Linked DNA regions of Diceros bicornis minor. The protein of the gene in region 2 interacts with the protein of the main gene of each other region in a pairwise test. Links are inferred from orthologs where the notes say so. Each region holds a gene or a part of one and is shown on either strand. Other genes may lie near its edges.

Region 1 (8,226 bases), on a different chromosome or scaffold from region 2:
CTTCAGAGAGTTGAGTGTGGAATTTGGTCCCAGACTGCTTAGATTCAACTTAACAGCTGGGCATGTTACACATGCTGCAGCCCCGGTTTCTCATCTGTAAGATGGTAATAACAACAGTGCCTACCTCACAGGGCTGTCACAAGGGATAAACACACATAAAACAGTCAACACAGTGACTGGCACAGTGTTCAAATGTCATCTGTCACTATTACTTAAGGCGCCCCATCTTAATGTTCTCCCTATCCCTTAGCGCTATCTGAAGCTGTCATCTTTACTTCTCATCCTTTTTGGGGTCCCCCCAGCCCCCCAGAACGTAAGCTTCATGAGGAGCTCTGTCTGCCTTGTTCAAAGCTCTGTCAGTCTCCTAGGAAAGGCATGCAAAAAGCCTGTGGAATATATGAATAAATATATCACATCAGGCATCCCTTTAAAATAATGTCTTGATTCAAAAAATTAAGTGAAAAATGACATTGCCTCAATCAAACAGTTATGTAATTGGGCTGGTCTCCCCTTACTAATTACCTTGCTGACCAACCAGGTCATTCAGTCCTTGGTTGGGGGGGTTTCCCTCCAATCTTATTACATAAATACAACAAACAATGGAAGAAACTGATAGATTAATCCGTGAGGCAAACGTTAATGTGGCTATATGCTAATTCTTTATAAACATACCACATACATGCAAACTGCGACACAACAAAAAAGGCTCTTGGCCATTAGGAAAGTCATACCTTGAAATATGAAACACACACTGACCTACTCAACTAAAACTGTTTTTCTACATGTATGCATATATATACATAATATACACACATATAGATTTTATATATATATGTGTATACACACACACATACACACAGCCATCCCCAAAACTGGGGACATGCTTTTTTCACCTCCTTTTTATGTTTCTGAACATAATGGGCTATGCGGAAATAAATGCTTTGAAATGAAAGTTGTGATTAAAACCCAATACTCCGGATCCTAAACATTACAGTTCTCCCCACTTATAGGCTAAACTTCTGTCATTCACCAAAGGAAATCCCAAATTTAAGGTTCTGATTGACTTGAGAGCTAGCACTAATTTTTTAAGGCATCTAAAACTACCAAATATCCATTCTGTTTTAACGTCTTAAGAATCCAATATCCAATTTTTACCCACCAGTTCCTCAAGTCCTTAATAAGTACTTTTCCCTCACTCTAATAGTTTCTTTCTTAAGAAAGGCATCATTATGTCGATATCCACGTTTTGTGAAATCCTAAAAATACTTTCAAGTTATATTCCGTTTTGAATGAACAAAAATCCTGTCATGCTATACCACCACGTTAGCAATGACTTAGGCAGTTTGCACAGATGCTACCAACGGGTATGAAATTCGCTAGGCAGAGATCAAGGCGAACAGGAAGGGAAAAAGCCTAGGAATGCTGCAGGGTAGTCCTCTAAAGGAAACAAGAAATGCTTCGGGATTTTATTTAAAGATGATCATGGACTATCATTCCCCAAAGTACCAAAAATACCTTGCCTGTATTTCTTGCTCAAAAGGAAAAGCGAAGCCACACATCTAGAAGGAGTAAAGATGTTGAACGCTGGCGGATTTTCTTAAATTAGGAATGAAAGAAGGAAAAGGAGAGAGGCCGCGGCGCTGCGGTCTCGGAGCAGTTCTCCAGGAAAGGCTTCTCGGGCGCCGGCCGCTCCCCCTCCGGTCCGCAGCCATGCTGGAGGTGGCTGGCGACTGGCACGTTTTAAATATCACCACCCCATCCATCAACTCCCCAGCACAATGCGGGCTGGGAAGCCGCGCGGGGCCGCCCGCGCACACGCCCACCGGCCCCACCAGCCCGCAACCCGGCGCGGCCGCCGCGCAGCCAAGTCACGCTCGGCCCGAGCAGAAAGTTTCGAATAAAAACCCGAGCGCCGACACGCACGGGTCTCGGAGCTGAACTCGCGCCAGGAACACGCCCGAGGCAAACCACTTGACAACCAGCTCGGGTTTTCGGCAGAAAGGCCGAGAGGCGGGGGCCGGGGAGGAAGAGGAGGCGACACACACACACACTCACACTCTCTTACGTACGCGGCTCCTCTTCCTCTGGGGCCCGCGCGCCCAGGTGGGAGCCACGCAGCAGCCTCGCGCCCGCACACGGCGCGCCGGGCGCCAGCGCCCCTCCTGGGAAGGTGCCGACCCCGGGCCGGCTCGGCGCGCCGGGGAGGGTGCGCACGCCCGGCGCCTCCCCGCCCGCCCGCCCGCCCTCGACGGCCGCAGCGGCGACTGGGGGCCGGGGGCCGGGGATGCTCGGCGGGCCGGCCGCGGGCTCGCGCGCCCCTCCCCCGCCCGCCGCCCGCGGGGCGCGCAGGAGGCGAGCGCCGGCGTCCCGGGGGACCGGCCCGCCTCCGGCCCTGGGAGCGGGGCAACTTTCCCCGGCGCGACCGCGGGCTGCGCCCGACCGGCGGGGCCGGGGGCCCGGGGGCGAGCGCAGCGTGGACTCACTTTTTCGGATGTTTCTCTCTTTTCGGCCTCCGCTTTCGGGCCTGAATGGCCAGCACTGGGGAAAGAGAAGACACACATTAACGGTCGGGCCGGCCGGCCGGCCCGCGGGGCCGCGTGGCGGGCAGGAGCGAACGCCGCGGGCCACTCACCTTTCCGGGAGCTCATCCCGACGCGGCGGAGGGCGGGCGGGGGGCTTCGCGGCGGCGGCGGCGGCGGCGGCGGCGACGCGGTGCCGAGCCGAGCCGGACTGCAGCCTCCACTCGCTCCGCCGGCCGGGAGGAGGCGGGAACCGCGCCTGCGCCGCCGCCGCCGCCGCTCCCGCGGGGGGCCCGGCAAGACCCGCCTCCGCCCGGCCCCGCCCCCGCCCCGCCCCCACCCGCCCGGTGAGCTTGGGACCCCAGCGCCGGGCCCCTCCCGTGTGTCCCGCACCCGCCCGCCGGGCCCACCTGTGCGAAGCGACCCCCCGCGACCACCGCCAGTCCCGTCCCCGACCTCCCCCTCCCCAGCCCGCGGCAGGCCTCCGCCTCCAGCGCCCCCGCGGCGGGCCCAGGCCTCCCGCCTCTCCCGGGCACCCGGCCCGCGCGACCCTCCCTCGCAGCCGCGGCCTCTCCCCTACGCACTCCGGCCAGTCGCGCCGCCCGTCTCTCCATGCGCCCTTCCTTGGCCCGCGCCTCCGCGGGTCTCACACCACCTCTCTTCGCGCGGCCTTTTCTCCCCCTTTGCTCCCCTACATCCTTGCATCCCCATGAGCGCCGCTCCTCCTCTCCGGCGGGTGTGGAAAGGGCACAGGACCAAGAACTGGGAAACCTGGGTCCTTTCACTAGCTATGTGACCTTGGAGAAGTCATCTTATCTCACACGTTTACCTACCCCGCAGGACTGCTTGAGTTTAATGAAGGAAAAGATGCAAATAGCGTGGAAAGAAGGATGAAGCTTTCGCACGTGAATTAAAGCCCAGTTCAATGAATACCACGTGTATAACAATTTAACACACCACCACAACCACCAAGTAGTTATTTTCTCCATCTTACAATGAAGAAACTGAGTCCTAGAGAGGTTAAGCAGTTTACCCAGCAATGACTGAAATCTAGGCCTAACTCAGTCCAAACTCTCCACGTATCATGCTTCCTAATTAAGATGTGAATCAACTTGATAGTGGGACAAAATGATAACTGCAGTGTTCCTTTGTTTATTTAAATACTGATAATATTTTTGAAAGATATTCATCCTGACCATTTACTCTCTCTTTGGCTATACAACTCTATTCTTAACTGATCAAAGTAGCTAGTCTTATTCTAAAGATGCTAAACCCAACAGAACAGAAGGCGCTGCTTGGAATTAAAGAGCTTTTTACTTTCTCAACTTTTTATTTTCAAAAACATCAAACCTACAGAAAAGCTATGAGAAAAACATAATGAACACCCATATTAACCCATATTCACCAGTTTTTAACATTTCGCTGCATTTGCTTTCCCTGTGTTGGGGGGGGAGAGTTGTTTTTGCTGAATCATGAGTTTTTTGCAGATAGTGTTACCCTTTACCCCTAAATATTTCAGTAAGTATCTCCTGAGACAAAGATAGTCTCCTACTTAATCAGATACTGTTATCATTCCAAGGAATTTTATTAATATAATACTATTATCTGTAACATACAGAGGTCATGTTCAAATTTTCAAAATATCCCTTTTAGCTGACTTTTTCTCCAACCCAAGATACAATCAAGGACCATGCATTGCATTTAGTTGTCACATCTTTTTAAGCTCCTTTCGTATAGAATAATGCCCGGTTTTGTTTTTTCTTATAACATTGACTTTTTTGAAGAATCCAGTTCTACTGTTTTGCAGAATGTTCCTCAGTTTGTATTCATCTGTTCCCCCTTAGATTGAAGTTACATAATTTTCTCAGGTACACTATCATAGATGATGTTGTGTTGGTCTTAGTAAATTGCATCAGGAGGGCTTTGATGTCTGTTTGTTCCATTATTGGTGATGTTGCATTTAATCATTTCTCCATGGTAAAAGTACCTTTTTTTCTTTGTATTTAAAAAGTAATCTGTGTAAAAAATGGGCAAAGGACATCAACTGATGAATGGATAAAGATGTGGTGTATATATACGATGGAATACTACTCAGCCATAAAAATGACACAATCATGGGGCCAGCCCAGTGGCATAGTGGTTAAGTTTGCACACTCCGCTTCGGCAACCTGGGGTTAGCAGGTTCAGATCCTGGGCACAGACTTATGCACCACTCATCAAGCCATGCTGTGGCAGCATCTCATATACGAAATAGAGGAAGATTGGCACAGATCTTAGCTCGGGGCTAATCTTCCTCAGCAAAAAGAGGAACATCAGCAACAGATGTTAGCTCAGGGCCGATCTTCCTCACCAAAAAAAAAAAAGACGCCATCATCACATTTGCAACAACATGGATGGACCTTGAGGGTATTATGTTAAGCAAAATAAGCCAGACGGAGAAAGACAAACACCACATGATTTCAGTCATATGTGGAAGATAAAGTAACACATGGACAAAGAAGGCAAATCAGTGCTTACCAGAGGGGAAGGGAGATGGGGGGTGGGTGAAAGGGGTAAAGGGGCGCATACGTATGGTGAAAGATAAAAATTAGAGTATTGGTAGTGAGCACAATGCAGTCTATACAGAAACTGATAAATGATAATGTACACTTGAAATTACACAATGTTATAAACCATTATGACCGCAATAAAATAATTAAAAAAAAAAAGTTTGTCATGTCTGTAGCTGTTACACTGTGAACAGCACAGAACCTCGAGGAACATTCTTCCAGTGTTGGAAAACTATCATCCAATTCAGCCAACAAGGTCACTCGATATCCTTGGCGGATGAGTTAAGATTCAACATGTGCTTCACTCTTGTCCTTTCATCTCACTCTTGAGTGTAAATGAAAACATCAACCAACATTTATGTCGGAACTATACTCAAGAGTCGGTGACATGAAGGACTTCTTGTGGAATCAGATAGTAATCAAGCATTTGTTCATGGTCTGATTTTCTCAAATCCTGGATGAATTGTAACCACAGGTTGGCTACAGATGTAACGGTTGGCAAAAATCAAAGAAAGCATTCTAGGGGGCTGGCCCAGTGGCATAGTGGTTATGTTCACTGCTCTCTGCTTTGTCGGCCGGGTTCACGGGTTCAGATCCTGGGCTTAGACCTACACCTCTCACCAAGCCATTGCTGTCGTGGCAATCCACATACAAAATAGAGAAAGATGGGCACAGGTGTTAGCTCAGGCCACTCTTCCTCAAGCAAAAAGAGGAAGGTTGGCAACAGGTGTTGCCTGTTAGCTCGGGGCCAATCTTCCTCGACAAAAGGAAAAAAAAACATTCTAGAGAACAATTGGTGCTGTAGAATTTACAATAAAAAGGATTGTATATTTTAGTATGATTTGTAAATTGTGTGCTATTTTACGGTTTTATACAGATAAAATGTATAATATACTTATGTACGTAAAAAAAAAAAAATGGGCAAAGGACTTGAATAGACATTTCTCCAAAGAAGAGAAACAAAGATGCTCATCATCACTGGAGAAATGCAAAGCAACATCACAATGAGATACCACTTCACACCTACTAGGATGACTACAATTTTTTTTAATGGAAACTAAGTGATGGCAAGGATGTAGAGACATTGGAATCCTCGTACATTGCTGGTGAGAATGTAAAAGGATGCAATCACTGTGGAAAACAGTTCCACAGTTCTGCAAAAAGCTAAATATAGGATTATTAGCAATTCTACTCTTAAGTATATATTCAGAAGAATTGAAAACAGGTACTCAAACAAATCCTTGTGTGCAACCGTTCATAGCAGCACTGATCACAGTAGCCAAAAGGTTAGAAACAACCCAAATATCCATCAACACATGAATGGATAAATTGTGGTATAGACATACAATGAAATATTTTTCAGCCATAAAAAGGACTAAAGAACTGATACATGCTACAACGTGGATGAACCTCAAAAACAGTCTGCCGAGTGAAAGAAGCTAGACACAAAAGGTCATATATTGTACCACTCCATTTACATGAAACATCAGGAACAAGCAAATCTGCAGAAAGCAGATTGGTGGTAGCCAGTGGCTTGGGGGAGGGGAAACGCGGAGCAACTGCATCATGGGTCCGGGGTTTTATTTTGTACTGAGAAAATGTTTTGGAGCTAGATAGAGGTGGTGGTGGCACAACATTGTAAATGTAGTAAATGCCACTGAATTGTTCATTCTAAAATGATTAACTTTATGTTATGTGAATTTCACCATGATTTTGTTTTATGGTTCTGTGGGGTAATATTTTGAGACCATGTGAGTATCCTTCCCCAAGAATCTTCACTCTATGGGTTAGCACCCATTGATGATGCTTGCCTGAATCAATTGTTACTATAGTGGTTGTAGAATAATAATATTATAATCCTAACATTCCATCTGTTCCATCTATGTTAATTAGGTGACATTCTTATGTAAAGAAGAGCTTTCATTTCTCCTGCCACCCCTTTGTTCTCTGTTTGTTTTTGGCTTGTTTTTTGTTTTTATTTTTGGTTTCAATATTGACAGTAATTACTGTCACTTTGATTTTTGATTCTTGAATTGCCCCATACTTGACCAGGGAAGACACTTTCAACTTTTAGTGTCCTTCGGACACATCCCAATCAGTTTTTGAGCACCTCTTCACTTTCTGGCACAAGATGTTCCAGGAAACTTTGTGCTTTCCCTAACTGGGTCTCAGAACCAGCCATTTTGCTGGTCTTGACTCCTTCTAGAAGGTGATTAAAAGCTTTGAAGCCAAAGAAATCCGATTTTAAAACCAGTTTCTTTTATTATTTTTAATAGCTTTACTGAGATATAATTCACATACCATACAATCAACACATTTAAAGTACAAAAGGCAATGTTTTTTAGGATTGTTGTGCAACCACCACAACAATCTAATTTTAAAACATTTTGTCACCCATAAAAGAACCTCCATAACCATTAGCAGTCACTCCCCATTTCCCCCAACCTCCCCTTGCTCAAGGCCTAGGCAACCACTAATCTCCTGTCTCTATAGCCCTGCCTATTCTGGACAGATCATATAAATGCAATCATATACTATGTGGCCTTTTGTGACTGGCTTCTTTCACTTAGCTTAATGTTGAAACCCATTTCTGCCTCTTAATTTCTGCATAACCTTGGGCAAGTTACTTAATTACAACATCTGGGAAACGGTAATAATATTAATACCAATCCTGCTAGATCAATGTGATAATCAAATAAGGAAAGTAAATATTCAATAAATGGTAATTACCATTAACATTAGTTGGGAAATCACACCCCATCTCTTTGCGTCCATTTGTTCAACAAATATTTCTCAAACACCTGCTATGCAGCTGGCATTATTCAAGGTATTGAGTCTACAGCAGTGAACAAAGCACACAAGACTCTCCCTGCCCTCGTGGGACATTCTACTGCCAGAAGACAGAAAATAAACAAAGTAAATATGTGAAATATATATTATATTTACTGGATGGCAATAGTGTCTATGACAAGAAGAATCAAAACAAAACAGCAACCTGTTGGGAACGTGTTTAGAAAAGGCCTCACTGAAAAGGGAACACTTAGTTAAAGACCTCAAGGTGATCTTACCAGTCTTTTTACTTCTATAAACCAGGAGAGAACTATATTTGCTACCTAGAATATTTGTGAATTGCTTTGAATTTATTAAATTAAAATATA
Region 2 (7,957 bases):
ACATAAAAAATAGTGCCAATACCAAATGCTGGTGAGGATGAAGAGAAAGTGGATCATTCGAACATTCTAAGTGGGAATGTAAAATGGTACAGCCACTGTTATAGACTGAAATTGTGTCCCCCCAAAATTCATATGTTGACGTCCCAACCCCCACACCTCAGAATATAACCATTTTTTTGGAGATAAGATCTTTAAAGGATTAAGTTAAAATGAAAGTGAGGTCCTAATCCAATACGACTGGTGTCCTTATGAGAAAAGGAAGAGACACCAGGGATATTAGCACACAGGGGAAACACCATGGGGGGGCACAGCCGAGAAGGTAGCCATTTGCAAGCCAAGGAGAAAGGCCTCAGAAGAAACCAAATCTGCTGACACCTTGATCTTCGACTTCAAGTCTCCAGAACTGTGAGAGAATAAGTTTCTGTTGTTTAAGCCTTCCGATCTGTGGTATTTTGTTATGGGAGCCCTAGCAAACTAACACAGACACTCTGGAAAACAATTTGGCAAGTTCTTAAAAAAAATTAAACATGCAACTACCATATGATCCAGCAACTGCACTCCTAGGCATTTATCCCAGAGAAATGAAAACTTAAGTTCACACAAAAACCTGCACACCAATGTTTATACAGCAGCCATATGTGTAATAGCCAAAAACTAGAAACAACCAAGGTGTTCTTTAATGGGCAAATGGTTAAATCCATACCATTGAATACCACTCAGCAATAAAAAAGAATGAACTACTGATAGATGCAACAGCCTGAACAAATCTCCAAAGAATTTTACTGAGTAAAAAAAGCCAGTCCCTAAAGATTACATACTGTATGATTCCATTTATATAACATTCTTGAGCAACAGAATTATGGAAATGGAGAAGAGATAAAAAGGTGCCAGGAGTTGAGGGGTATGGGTGGGAGGGAAGAGGGTATGACTACAAAGGACAACATGAGAGATGCTTGTGGTGATGGAAATGTTCTGTACCTCGACTGTATTGATGTCAATACTCTGGTGCGATATTGTACTATAATTCTGTAAGACGTTACCTTTGGGAGAAACAGGATGAAGAGTATACCTCTGTATTATTTCTCACAACTGCTTGTGAATCAACAACTATCTCAAAATAAAAAGTTCAGTTTAAAAAAGCAAGCAGAAAAAAAAACCAAAAACAAAACCAGTTTTTAGCAAAGCCCACGGCAGGTACAGGTGAACACATACACAACACTCTCCAGCTAGGATGGGAAGAGGCTCTAGATTTGCACCTAGTGTCAAAACATTTCAATCCACTTACCTGCTTCACTTTGACTGTTGAGTGGTGAGGACTTCGGCTTCTCTTACTCCTAGGAGACTTGCTTCTTCTCCCTGAGGACTTGTTTTTCTTTTTGGCTGGGGACCTTTTCAGAGCATGGGACACACAGGATTTTATCTCGATTTCCCTTCCTCCACACAAATTAGCTGCAACTATCAGGCTCACCTACTAACACAAACACATTTGTGAAGGTCTCTGCCGATCACACAAAGGAGCCAGGAGCTTCTGTTTCCTAGTCCTAACGTCTCCCTTGAGTCCTGGACCCACATATGTAACTGCCTACTGAATATTCTCACTTACATAACATAACTCTTGATTCCCAACCCCTCAAAAACCTTTCCTTGGAGCAGGCCCGTGGCCTAGTGGTTAAGTTCGGCGTACTCCGCTTCAGTGGCCCACGTTTGGTTCCTGGGCACGGACCTACACCACTAGTCATCGGCCATGGTGTGGTGGCGTCCCACATACAAAACAGAGGAAGACTGGCACAGATGTTAGCTCAGGGCAAATCTTCCTCAGCAAAAAAAAAAAAAAAAAAAAAAAAAAAAATTTCCTCTCTGTCTTTCCTCTCTGCCATCTCTGTAACTGGCACCACCATCCACCCTCTTCCTCAAGCCAAAAACCTAGAAGTCACCCTTGATTTTCTTTTTCCTCACCACCAACAGCCACTCCCTACTCTTCCCCCACAATCACATTCAACCCATCAGCTCCGGCTCCATCTCCTCCCTCTCCCACCTCATTCCTACCACTCTTCTTGATCACTACACTGGGGTTTGCTGTTTTTTTTTCCCCCCTATTTCTAGAACAATTACAATTCATCCTACTTCAGGTTCTTTGCACATGTTGTTTCCTCTGCCTACATCTTTACATGGCTGGATTATTATCATTCAGGTCTCAGCTCAAATGGCACCTATTCGGAGGGGCCTTCTCCCACTTCCCTCCAATCTCTCACTATCACATGACTGTTTTAACCTATCCCTAACACGTGTCATTAACTGAAACTATTTTATTTGCTTGTTATTTTGTCTCAGGGCTAGAGCACATCAAATTTCGCGAGGGTAAAGGCCACCTACCTTGTTCACCCTTACAGCCCCAGTCTTGAGCACATAACAGGTACTCGGTAAAACTATGTTGAATGAATGAATAAATGAGCCAATCCAGTAGAAAACAATTTTCTTTTTCCAGAATTTCTATCAGGGAGATCGCCTAGGCCCTCGATGTGTAAACCTTTCCGGGCAGATGACTGAAAAGACAACGCCCGCACTCCATTTGCAGTCACATGGGGAAAATCTTTCATTTCAACTTAAATGGTCAGTCCTACCTGCTGGGCCATACTCCGCGAAATGCTGCGCACTCAGAGATGAAGGGGCGGACCCTGCTCGTTAGATTAGCCGCTTAACGCCCAGCTATAACGCAAGTGACAGGTACCGGAGTAAACATTTAACCCAAGCACTAGCGGGTCACTTCCACCGCCTTAGGATGAAGTCCAAGCTGCTGCCCTCGCTTCAAGGTGTGCTTCTGACGCTAGCCCTGTCCTCCCTTCTCAGAGCCCGACGTAAGGTCCACCCCGGGCTGCTTCCCACTTACCGGCTACCTCCTCGGGCTCGGTTCCCGCGGTGACCCGGGCGGCCTGGCTCGCCGGCCGGCGGGGACGGGCTCCCGCCGGCGGAGTCCGGACGGCGGTGGGCGGGGGGCGCTGCTTCCGGGCTGAGTCGCTCTTGCTTCACCACCACGGCCGCCGCCGCCGCCACCATGTCCCCGTCCCGGTGCCGTCGCCGGCTCCCCCGCTCCCGCTCGCTCTTCACCTCCTTCATGCTGAGAGACCCGCTGAGCGAAGCGAAAATACGTCCGTTGTGCTCCTCTCGCTGAAGGAAATGACGGGCTTTACACCCCCCCCCGCACTTCCGCTTCCGGGGTGCGCGCTCTCCCAGAAACCCTCGCGGCGGAGGGGCTAGACACGTGACCACGACTCCGTAGTCGGCGGGGCCGTAGGGACCCGGTTCAGGTGGCGGGAGTTTTGAGTTTCAAAAGCAAACTTCTGCGAAAAAGCTACTCTCAAGGCTGTTTGTTGTCGCGTTATTAGTAATTACTAAACACGGAGACAACCGAAATGCCCAGCGGTGGGAAATTGTTTAGCCGATTGATGGATGTATGTCGCCATTCGCAGTGCTATTTACAAACTGTATGACAAATGGAAAAAACCCTGGTTTGTTAAACGAAAGAAGCAGGATACAAAATTGTGGCTATGTTTACGTTTGAAAAGAGAAAGAAAGGAGAAGAGAAGGAAATGCAATCATAGGTGATAGCCTGTGGGCAAATCATTAGTATTTCCCCTCTATTCTTGAACTTTCTTTTATGTTGTCATTTCTCCATTTAATTAAAAAATACTTTTTATTTTATTTATTTATTTTTTGGTGTGAGAAAGATTTGCTCTGAGCTAACATCTGTGCCAATCTTCCTCTATTTTGTATGTGGGGCACTGCCACAACATGGCTAAGGAGTGGTGTAGGTCGTGCTGCGGGTTCCGGGCTCTGGGATCCGAGCCACTGAAGTGCAGCCCGCCAGCCAAGGGGCCGGCCCCCACAAATACTTTTTAAAACCGGGGAACTCCAGAGGCCCTCCTCTGGGAATCTTTCTCAATCCTTCACTGAGGAGTCAGATGACTCCCATTTTGCAGGTGACAAAATCGGGGGTCAGCGAAGGTGATCTGCCACCTTATTCGAATTGTGAGCTAGACGCAGCGCAGGGACTCGAATCCGTTTTCTCTGCTTCCAAGAGTACCGATGCGACCCGGCGAGCAGGAGGCCTGACAAGCGAAGCACGGGAAAAGCTGGGCAGAAACTCCCGCGCCGCTGGCCCCGCCCCACCCCGAAGCCCCGCCCAGGCCATGAGGCTAGGAGAGGTTTCCATGGTGATGGCAAACAGGGCCATGATTCGAGGGGCCGCCGCTGGGCTACTACCTTCGCCGCCGCCATGATTCCCCCCGCGGACTCTCTGCTCAAGTATGACACCCCGGTGTTGGTGAGCCGGAACACGGAGAAACGGAGTCCCAAAGTAAGGACGGGTCTCAGGGGGCGGAGGAGCCCGAAGCTCCAATGAGAAGAGAGACCCCGCGTTGAGGATAGGGAGTCCCGAGGGACAGAGGCTGGGAGTAAAGGGACTTGGAACGGGGGAAGGAGTGTGGGAGAGCGTTACAAGAAGGCCAGATGTTGGGTAACCCCAGAGGGCAGATTTAGAATGGGGAAGGAAGTCACAGGGAGATGAATGGGGCTTACTCTTTTTCATGGTAGCTGGGTCCAAAATAGATCTGGTAGTGATTTCACACCCATCACTAGAGGTGTGAAAGCAGAGGCTTGAGCACCCGTGCCAGAAACATCACTTCAAGGAGATACAAGCATTGGGTTGGGGTAGGACCAGAGGCTATGGCCCCCTTCAGCTCTGAGATGTAACTTCTGCTGAGAAGACAGGTGGGGAAAGTGAGCTGGGAATAGGGGACGATGTGCAGGAGACCTGGAGCAATCCAGAAGGCCAGGATGTGTGGAGCTGAGTGTCTGTCACCTCCTGCCCTAACTTGTCCCTTCTTCTCAGGCTCGGCCACTGAAAGTCAGCCCCCAGCAGCCTGGACCCTCAGGTCCAGTCCCGCAGCCACCAAAAACCAAGGTCCCCTCAACTTCCTGTGTCCCAGATCCTACAAAGCAGGCTGAAGAAATCTTGAATGCCATCCTGCCCCCAAGGTAAAAAAGTAGGAGCAGTGTCTGGGAGAAGGCCCAGGCTTTTGCATCCTAGAACTTGGGAATGTGGGAGGAGGCAGTCTGTCTCTGTTCCTGGCTGGGATTTCCTCCCAGCATCCCAGAGCTCCTAGAGCTTGCAGATGGCTGGATGCTGAGAGGGTGGGAGGAGACCTCTTCTCTATCCATCCTCATCTCCTGAGGGCTCGCGCCCAGGCTCATGGCTTTAGATCCCATCTATACGCTGATGGCTCCCAAATGTGCATTTCCAGCTCTGTCCTATCCCCTAAACTCCAGCCCCATATGTTCTACTGCTTCCTCATTATCTTCATGAGGATGTCTAATAGATATCTCAACTCAGCATGTCCACACTAAATCACAATTTCTTCCTCCTCCAACCTGCTCGTCCCCAGGCTTCTCCTTTCTACTAGGCGCTCAGGCCACCTTCCATTCCTTTTGGTCCCTCATGTCACATGTCCTATCCTTCATCAAATTCTTTTGGCTCCACCTTAAAATTATATTCCAAATCCAGCCACTTTTCACCACCTCTGCTTCCACCATCTTGTTCCTGTCACTATTTGTCACCTGCAGTACTGCAATGGCCTCCTATCTGAAAACCCTGCTTCTACTCTTTGCCCCTGTAATTTAATCTGCACACTGCCCTGAAATCATAAGTCAGATCATGCCAGTCTTCTGCTAGAAACTCTTTAATGGCTTCCCATTTCGCTCAGGCTAAAATCCAAAGTCCTTACAGTGGCCTGGAAGAGCTGGCGTGATCTGGCTCCTGATAGACCCAGGATCTTATCTCCTGGTATTCTCCTCCTTGTTCACTGTGCTAATGCCGCAGAGGCCTCTGCTTGCTGTTTCTGAAACACTTCCATCGCTCTTCCACCGCAGGACCTTGGCACTTGCTGTTCTCACTGCCAATGACACTCTTCCTCTGATATCTGCCTGGTTCTCTTCTTCACTCAGGTCTTGCTCAAATGTCGTTTCCTTAAGGAGGCCTTCCTTGAGCATCCTTGTAAAAGAGCGCCTTCTTTCTTCACCATCCCCTTACCTGGCTTCTCTCTTCTACAGCCACATTTATCACTATGTGGCATGCCTTTTTGACTATTTTTATGTAATAAGTTGATAGCACAGTTTTTAAGGCTATGATGGAAAGGAGAAACAGTAAAAGAGAGACTGCGATTTCCTCCGAGAAGGGGGTCAAAGAGGGGAGTGGGTGATTTTTCAATTGACGCCCTCCTACCAATGCCTGGAAATTCTCTCCCCCATGGCGGTTCTATCCTCAGGCTCCTTCCTTGTAATTCTGGAACCTGGCCATGCCTCTGATACAAGGTTCATCGTGGGGAGGCCCACATAGGCACACACCTTCAAGAACCTCCCCTCTCCCCAGTACACACATTTGCCTCTTTCTGGCTGGCACAAGATTTGTGGTGCCCTGTGTCTCCCACCCGACAAGTCAGTGGAGAATTCCCACTGGGCCTTCTGTTGAGATCAACAACGACCATAAGTCTGTCCTCAACATGTAAAGAGGGTAAGATTTGGAACGTGGGTGATGATTTCATGGAGGGCTGTGGGAGAGTGGAGATGGCCCAGCTCCAAGGTAGAGGCTTTGTGGAGGCAGCATAGTGAGGGTGGCCTTGAAACCACACACTCCCCAAGGAAGAGAGAAGGATGGAAGATTCTGGTGGGTCGAGGACAGAGCTGTCCCTCACACCTCTCAGGCAGAGAGCTCAAAGGGCCTTCTCTGCTCATGTCTCGAGGACCCTCTCTGGTCAATGGGTTTTGCTCAGGCTGGCTGTGTCTGTGCCGCAGGGAGTGGGTAGAAGACACGCAGCTATGGATCCAGCAGGTGTCCAGCACCCCCAGCACCAGGATGGATGTGGTGCACCTGCAGGAACAGCTGGACCTGAAGCTGCAGCAGCGGCAGGCCAGGGAGACCGGCATCTGCCCTGTCCGCCGGGAGCTCTACTTGCAGTGTTTCGGTGAGTGGCTGGGGGCGGGGTACGGGACACCTGCCTCCTTCCCTTCCTCTTCAGCACAGACCCAAGCCCTGAGTATCCCCGAGCTACAGCCTATCCCATCCTGGAATCATCTGGTCCCTCCCACCCAGGGACCGCTACATGCGCCCCCTCCCCGTCCAGCCCCACCTCTCCTACCTGTCCCCCACCTACCAGTCCCCCACTTGACAACCTGGTTCTTCATCCCGCAGCAGTTGTTTGGAGTAAGATGAGAACTTCCATTTTAAATCTTCGTTTTTTTCCAAGACTTCTATAATAAGCATGTGTTAATTTTTTGATTAGAAAAATTAATGTTCTATACTTATATCCATCTATCAACATTTGGCCCTTGGTCCAGAAAAATATTTCAGGGTAATGTGTTGTTAACCGACGGATACAAAGGATTTAAGATTTCCCTCCACAAGTGCTGGTGTCGAATGTCTCTGTCCCTCGCCCACTTTCACCGGCCGGTGTGGACTCTGACATGCAAACCACCTCCAAACCCTGAGGCAGCTGCAGAGTCTAGCAGCTCCCTTTAGTCGGCGTATGATTATGGTTGGCCCTCCAGGTCAGCCTTGATGGAGGAGACGGGTGGGCGAGCTCTAGACCCCGCTGTTGCCAGCCCCAACCCAGTCCAGCCAAGGGGATTTCCCAGCCACTTTAAAACAGCCACCATCTTCAAATTGAAAAAGGCAGCTTTCTTTGAATAGTACCCAGTTTCTGGCTGAGGATGGAAGAGAGGGGCCCCATGGCTGCAAACAAACCTAGGGCTCCTGTCTCCCTCTGCCCTGGCCACAAGGGGCTTGTTGACTGCCTGTGCTCCCAAGAGCCAAGTTCAGAGTGGTGGCTGCATGGCAGGGCTCCTGGGGCCACTCAAGGCCACTCCCTGAGGCCTGACTCCAAGTGAGGAGGACACACCCTAGAGC
Region 3 (7,959 bases), on a different chromosome or scaffold from region 2:
AAGCCCTAACTCCCAATGTGACTATTTGGAGATTTGGCCTTTAGTGAGGTAATTAGGTTAAGTGAGGCCATAAGGTTCGGGCCCTAATCTGACAGGATTGGTGTCCTTATAAGAAAAGAGACACCAGAGTTCGCTCGCTCTCTCCATGCAAGCAGAGAGAAAAGGCCATGTGAGGAAAGAGCAAGGCGGCAACCATCTGCAAGCCAGAAAGAGGGCTCTCACCAGACACCAACTGGCATCTTGATCTTGGACTTCAAGCCTCCAGAACCATGAGAAAATAAATGTTTGTTTAAGCTGCCCAGTTTGTGCTATCTTGTATGCCAACAAGAGCTGATGAATACATTTCATGAGATAAAAACATTAAAAATAGTAGTAACAAAAATTAAGAAATTACCTCTGCTTGATCCCAACTTGATAGCTTTTTAGGAGTGGCACCAGGAGTCTGATCAGCTGTTTGATCCCAACGTCGTTTTCGTTTTGAGGGAGGCTGGGACGCTGCTGCTCCATTGACGACTTTTAGTTCCCCAGCTTTAGCTTTTTCTGCTAGCTGTTGCCTAATTTCTCTCTGAAAAATATTTGAATAAGCAGTGAATATCTTTAAAACATTTTCAATTATCTTTTTATATCATTAGGACAGTCATTTCTATTTCATGATTTCACGTCATTTTATTCTTCACTCATTCTCCTTCCTTATTTTCCCTCTCTATCGCCAGTTTTATACAATGTCCTTCTGCACAACAGATGAGCAAGTACTGAATTTATAACATAAAGCACTCTACTTTATATACAGTTAGTGAAGTAAAATCTTCAGTCAACGGTAAAGATGATTCCATTCAAAAATAAAGTTTTATTTAAAACTCATATAAATAGCAATTAAGACAATGTAGCAAGATATAAGCGATAAAAGTGACTATAACTATGCAAATAACATAGTCATAACAAATGCATATTTAATTTACCCCATGATTTTAAAATGGAGTTCCACTATCCCACTTAATCCATAAAACAAACAAATCTATTATATATTCATATTAAGTTTGGAGGCTAACTATTAAAACAAGATGGAGCAATCTCTGTAGGCCAACAGGAATTCTTCAGGAATTCTCCACCCATATCCAAACTGAATCTTATGAGAGAATTAGAGGTTTTTCAAAGAATGATTTAACTATTTCACTTTTCCCTTACACACTGGCTTCAGACACACACTATCAATCCTTCCCGGATACATCCACCATAAGATACATACGTATATAGATATATAGCCAATGGACCAGGGACTAGAAAAGGATATAGAAACATGAAAAGTGTAATTTGGGAGGTGACAGAATTTTGGGTAAGGTTCTTTCTCAACTTAATTTTTATTAAGCTGTTAAAATATTACTTGTACAGCAAATAAAAAGAAAATACAAAAGTCACTCAATCTCTACTTTCTTCACTTTCTTTCACAACCATTAAAATAAAAAGCAGGTTAACATACCTCTTCTTTAGTCAAATGCTGTTCTCGCATTACATCCATGTAAGTCCTAGCGTTCATTTTAGGATCAGGGGTCTTCCCTCCTGCAGAAAAGAACAGCAACAGGACAAGAGTACAATAAATAAAAGATAATTAGGTTCAACTGATTTATCTGCCCTGCTCTAATATTATGTTATTCCATAATCATTTAATTTATTTTTTGATGGAAAACTTTAATAATTATACATCTTACTTTTTATTGAGTTTGCTGATCAATTTAACCTGTTTGAACACAAACATATCTACAGCAGTTTAAAACAAATATTTTAATGCATATGAAAACAAAATGACAGCACAGTTTAGAGTCTTCAGAAGTGATGGGTTCCTGGGTTGCTAATCCGGAATACGTACACTTTCGTGCCTTTGTCTCCATCAGCAGTTCTGACTTCAAGCAGCAGAATAGAAGCCTAGAAAATTATCTCTTTACCATTAGTAACACTTTGGAAAGATATTTATATTCAAAACATTACCTGTTGCAAGCTGTTAAAATCCTGACTACAAATAACTATGACTAGATAAGTTCCTCATATAATGTTCTAAAACAGTTATAGTTCAGAAAATCTGATTTTTAAAAATATACCTATAATCTTATTCTGATGTCATGTTACTAAAAAGGGCTTCATGCTTTTAGAGTTTTGTTGACCCAGAAACATATTTTTATTTTCTTAGAAAGTATAAATTACAACTGGAAATATATTACTTGAAATATATTACCTCTACCAGTTATTATGATGCACACAGAAGAAAAGTGGTGTACAAAGAGATGTGTTAGTCTCTTGGTTAAAGTTTCAGTATTTGTTTTTCAAACTTCAAAATATCTTAAAGAAGCCCAAACAGTATACAACAAGATTCACAGAGGCACACTAGTTTTAGAAATGTGATAATTAGCTATACAAAGTAGTATAGCATCATAATTTAGGAAAAAATAATAAAATTCTAAGACATTTCCTATGCTGAAGATCATGCCTAATTGATAGTGTCATTCTTTCTGACACTAGCTCTGATAAGACTTCCTTTGGAATACTTTTTCACCATAATCTAGAGAGGATGTGTTGAACTGCACCCTTAAGAATGCAGACAGGACTGGCATATAGCAGTACTGCTGTAGGAAAGAAATTAAGGACAGTTAGTATGGGCCTGTGAATTCTGACATACATGTTTAAATCAATTACAATTATGCAAGTAAAAAAAAGAATATCCCTACTAATTCATGCAGGCTGAAAGTCTAATTTGTAAACCTGCAGCAGAATCTAATTTTAAGAAACAGGCACCTAATTTTGATTTTGAAACTCACTCACCTGAGGAAAGCTTCCATCAGGCTCACTATGCCCCTAAAATTAGCAAAACAGACTCCAACTATTAAAAATATCAAAGTCTTTGTACACATATTTTTGTTTTAACTTTATGCTTAAAGCAAAGTAGGTGCGTTTACTAAACTATATTTAGAGCAACATGGATGGAGCTCTAATGTGAGAAACAGTTTCTCAAAAGTAACAATCCTAAAAATCTAGGATTTGGAATGAAAACTTTCAATAATTTGAAAGTATTTTGAGCAGAAAAACACATTTGTTCAAAGTATAGAAAGCGTACCCAAAACAAAAGTAAAAGAAAAACCTTTAACCCTTTGCGTTTCTATGGCATTGGCTCATTATTTTCTTGTCCTTCTACCTGGAAAGAAAACTTGCATTATAAAGAGGAAGAATATGGCATCTGTGACTTCAACCAAATCTATACAAATCTATAAGGGGGATTTTAAAAAAGAAAAGCAAATTCATAGGCATGCCAAAAAAAATCAAAGGGCTAAAGACAACTTAATACAAATAAATTTCCGAATACTTATAGAAAAGTGGGAAAGAATTACCATCTGCAAAAGGATCAAGACGCTCTGGGGAAATTATCATGGTCCGCCTGTGCTTTTTGTATTCATCTTCACGATCTGCAATCTTCGGAGGTCGGTGCTCGGCAAATGGATCATACTGAAAAGAGTTATATCTCACTTAATACCCACTTTACTAAATAACCAAACAGAGTACCACAAACAAAAATCAGAACATTATAAAACACGTAAAAATGTTTAATAAATGCCTACCTACTAAAAAAAAAATATTCTGTATCATTTTATGGATAAACGTTAATATGAGAAAATAAGGGATACGTAAATGAGACAATACACATGTCCACATTTCCATAGTTTCTTTATGAAATGATTACCTTTATAAAATAAACTATTATTTCTAATTCTCCCAAATTAACTCTCATCAAAACATTCTAACAACTTGATTCCTAAAATATGTGAGCTTCCATGAGAATTGAGACATTGTTTTCTTTAGCTGAATAAACTCTGAATTTAATAATAATTTTTAAAAAAGAGTCACCTGTTCTGTTGACTGTGGGATATCATTAAGCAATGCCACAGGGGCATGATACCCTGGCTTCTTCTGACCAAGCAAACTTGTAGATGAAGAGTAGTCATCGTCATCCTGCAATGAAATGCCCCCAAAAGCCACAAACAAAATGTCAGAACTTAAAAATGATAAAGAATACATAAAGATTCAACATGAAATCAAAAGACTTACTGACAGTGTGATTGATGTCTAAACCCTTCTTCCTAAAACTTATAAATACTTTGGTTTTCTTTTCAACTCAAAAGGCTATTAAAGAAATGAAATTCAGTTCTCTTCACTCTTTTAAAAATATTAAACAAGGCATGCTTTCTGTGGAAGTCAGTTAAAGTCGGTATGGACTAGAAAAATCTGAGCATTTTGTTTTCTCACAGAAGGCATGATGAAATTTGTTTTCCAAATTTGTAAACTACAAATAGACTATTTAGAGCTCTCTAGTTTCCTTGTTTTTTTAACATGATTTAACCACAGAAACAAGTAAAATATAATTAATTTTAAATATATTTGTTTCCCTAGTAGTATGTTCAAACACAACAATGTTAGTGTTACTTTACTACTATAAGAAGTTCAACAGTGGGTAACTCTCAAGAAGATCTTAACACCTCATTTATTTTATTTAAAAACGAAATAATTTTCCCCTCAGTTTCTGGAACATATAGCCATCACTGTCTCATACGAATAAGGTATGATAATGCAAATAGAAGCCTGATTGGCTTCTAGAAATTCTACCTTTGGGACTTAATTTTGCTTTAAAAAAAAAAAATGCCAACTATAAAATAAAATGTGGCTTGAATTTCATAAAAATAACATGTTTGATAATCTATATACATAAAATGTTTGTTACTGAACCACACAAAAATGGATAGCTATTTCACCAAATTTGTATGTTTGGGATGGTCTGACAAAATATAAGCTATGTGGAACACATAAAAAACACTTTGAGGGGTGTGTTTCAAAACGAGAGGTGATCATCCTCCAGAGTAACTAAAACAGGCACAAAAAGCCATTCATGTCGGTAACAAGAAACATTCCATTCACACAAGATGCCAAGGGGAAAAAAAAAACAGCATCAAGCACAAGTCAGAAATCAAAAGTCCTAAGGACAGATGACTTACAATGAAGTCACTTCTCACATGGGCAACTCTAGATAGAGCTCAGTAGGTGACAACAGGGATTTACTTTACAATAGTTAATGATTTGCAGGTGCTTTACTAGATAAACTAGCTTTAACATAAAGATTCAGAACTGAGCACTTCCACAAGTTTCTGAACTTTAGAGAGGAAGGACACCTTCAACAGCTTTATCCTTCAAAAGAAAGATCTCCCAATCTCCAAAATGTCTCCCCAGATTAAACCAGATGACTCAAACAGAAAATTCCTTTATATTTCTTGCTCTCCATCAAAAAAAACGCTTGACTCTTGGATACTTTGTAACTTACATCTTCAAGTTCAGTTGCAGCAATTGATGTCACATATCCAGCAAATCTGCTGTCACTTCCACCATAAATTTCCTGGTCATAATAACCTGTAGAATCAAGGCCCACTCCCTGAGCTTCATCAAGAGCTGCCTTCTTGCCTTGAATTTCTCGAATCTGTGCTTCAATATCTGTAAGAAAGTTAATATAGACCTTCTGAACTTCATTTTCCAAAGAGCACTCAACACAATGCATTTCTCTCCCAGGTATTATCAAAATACTCTTCTAAATACAGCAATTTCAAAATAATTATACCATACAACAGATTAGTAGAACTATACCAAGTACTGATTTTTAATAACATCTCCACCTCAACAGACAATACTCATGTACCGAAAAGACACTTACTATTTCATCAACTGCAAATTACTCTTACTTTAAGAATGGGTTACCAAAGTTTATTAAATTATTGTTGAATTCTAAACTTTTCCTCAACTGAAACAATAATACTGTCAATGTTGATTAGGGACCAACAACAACACTCAAGATTATTTTAACTCAACACTACTAGAAATGTGAAAACAACAGTACTATGGAGAGTGGTTATCAAACTTGAATGTGCAACAAATCGTCTACGGATTTTGTTAAAATGCAGTAAGCCTGTGCCTACTGTCACCACTCTTATTCAACATAGTACTGGAGGTTTTGGCCAGAGCAATTAGGCAAGAAAAAGGAATAAAAGGAATCCAAATAGGCAACGAAGAAGTGAAACTCTCACTATTTGCAGACGACATGATTTTATATATAGAAAACCCTAAAGAATCCATTGTAAAACTATTAGAAATAACCGAAAACTAGAACAAAGTCGCAGGGTACAAAATCAATCTACAAAAATCAGTTGCATTTCTGTATGCTAATAACGAACTAACAGAAAGAGAGCTCAAAAAGATAATACCATTTACAATTGCATCAAAAAGAATAAAATATCTAGGAATAAATCTTACCAAGGAGGTGAAAGACCTATACAATGAAAACTACAAGACATTATTGAAAGAAATCAACGATGACATAAAGAAATGGAAAGACATCCCATGCACATGGATTGGAAGAATAAACATAGTTAAAATGTCTATATTACCTAAAGCAATCTATAGATTCAATACAATCCCAATCAGAATCCCAATGACATTCTTAAGGGAAATAGAAAAATGAATACTAAAATTCATATAGGGCAACAAAAGACCCCGAATAGCTAAAGCAATCCTAAGAAAAAAGAACAAAACTGGAGGGATCACAATCTCTGACTTCAAAACATACTACAAAGAAATAGTAACCAAAACAGCATGGTACTGGTACAAAAACAGACACACAGATCAATGGAACAGAAATGAAAGCCCAGAAATAAAACCACACATATACGGACAACTAATTTTCGACAAAGAAGCTAAGAACATACAATGGAGAAAGGAAAGTCTCCTCAATAAATGGTGTTGGGAAAAGTGAACAGCCACATGCACAAGAATGAAAGTGGACCATCTGCTATCGCCATTCACAAAAATTAACTCAAAATTGATCAAAGACCTGAAGGTGAGACCTGAAACTATAAAACTCATAGACGAAAATATAGGCAACACACTATATGACACTGGTCATAAAGGAATCTTTTCAGATGCCATGCCTACTCAGACTAGGGAAACTAAAGAAAATGCAGTAAGCCTGGATCAAACCCAAGTTCCTGCATTCCTAACAAGCTCCCAGGTAATGTCCTAAACACCTAGGACTACACTCTGAATAGTAAAACAATAAAGTATAAAGTCTAAATTCTTAAGCGTGGAATTCAGAGTCCTACACAATTTGGCTGCAACCACCATCACATTAGTTTTATGATTAAGAGTCTAAGCTCTGGAATCAGAATGTCTGCCTTCAAATAAAGGCCCTTTCTCTACTAATTAATGTTTTTAAACCCATGTGTCTCAGTTTCCTACATCATAAAGTTTTTTTAAGGATTAAATGAGACAATGAACATGAAACACTTCAGCACTCGATGAATGAATGAACTGCCATCTCTCACTCCCCAAAGCACTATGTTCTACTAACATTCTGGAGATGCAGATTTGGTGAATGACATATGAACTCCTCTCAACTGCTTCCCAAACTTCCCTCCAATTTTTAACTTTGAATTTTTTCAAGATTAAAAAAAAGTAAAATATTACAATGAACACCCACATACTCTTCACCTATATTCATCAACTGTTTATGTACATAATAGATAAAGCAAATGTGTATACATATCAGTTTTCTAAATCATTTAAAATCCCTAATATCTCAGCATGTTATTTCCAGATCTAGGGCATTCTGCTATATAACCACAGGAATACTAACACGCTCAGAAATTAAACCTTAATACAATAGCATCTAATATATTATCCAGCTTCAAATCTCCCCAATTGTCCTAGTAACATCCTGTATAGGTGTTCCCTTCTTTGATCTGTGATCCAATCAAGAACCAGGCATTGCATTTAGTTGTCACGTCTCTTTAGTCTCCTTCAAATACAGACTAGTCTTCCAACTTTCTTTTAGTGTTTCTTAACACCAGGTAACTTCAAATTACAACCTAATGTTTCATTTTA

The links. The genes of interacting proteins can lie anywhere in the genome.
Region 1: the proteins of SNIP1 (region 2) and SRPK2 interact in binary tests that used the Homo sapiens proteins (3 or more experiments, as listed by UniProt). The link is inferred for Diceros bicornis minor from reciprocal best matches to the Homo sapiens genes SNIP1 and SRPK2.
Region 3: the proteins of SNIP1 (region 2) and SF3B1 interact in a two-hybrid assay, tested with the Homo sapiens proteins (2 studies listed by BioGRID and IntAct). The link is inferred for Diceros bicornis minor from reciprocal best matches to the Homo sapiens genes SNIP1 and SF3B1.

What each region holds. Positions count from the first base shown.
Region 1 is NC_080742.1:12,839,186-12,847,411, reverse strand, and holds the start of SRPK2 (SRSF protein kinase 2), read right to left. Parts: upstream 3,134-8,226; coding exon 3,104-3,133; intron 2,696-3,103; exon of another isoform or gene 2,649-2,695; coding exon of another isoform or gene 2,633-2,648; intron 2,539-2,632; coding exon 2,484-2,538; intron 1-2,483. UniProt on the Homo sapiens protein: Serine/arginine-rich protein-specific kinase which specifically phosphorylates its substrates at serine residues located in regions rich in arginine/serine dipeptides, known as RS domains and is involved in the phosphorylation of SR splicing factors and the regulation of splicing.
Region 2 is NC_080752.1:51,594,156-51,602,112, forward strand, and holds the start of SNIP1 (smad nuclear-interacting protein 1), read right to left. Parts: upstream 3,166-7,957; 5' UTR 3,115-3,165; coding exon 2,888-3,114; intron 1,389-2,887; coding exon 1,286-1,388; intron 1-1,285. Other genes in the region: DNALI1 (axonemal dynein light intermediate polypeptide 1), read left to right, coding at 4,274-4,354, 4,889-5,034, 6,847-7,016. UniProt on the Homo sapiens protein: Required for pre-mRNA splicing as component of the spliceosome. As a component of the minor spliceosome, involved in the splicing of U12-type introns in pre-mRNAs. Down-regulates NF-kappa-B signaling by competing with RELA for CREBBP/EP300 binding.
Region 3 is NC_080749.1:75,268,618-75,276,576, forward strand, and holds the start of SF3B1 (splicing factor 3B subunit 1), read right to left. Parts: upstream 3,149-7,959; 5' UTR 1,865-3,148; intron 1,558-1,864; coding exon of another isoform or gene 1,535-1,557; coding exon 1,478-1,534; intron 566-1,477; coding exon 395-565; intron 1-394. UniProt on the Homo sapiens protein: Component of the 17S U2 SnRNP complex of the spliceosome, a large ribonucleoprotein complex that removes introns from transcribed pre-mRNAs.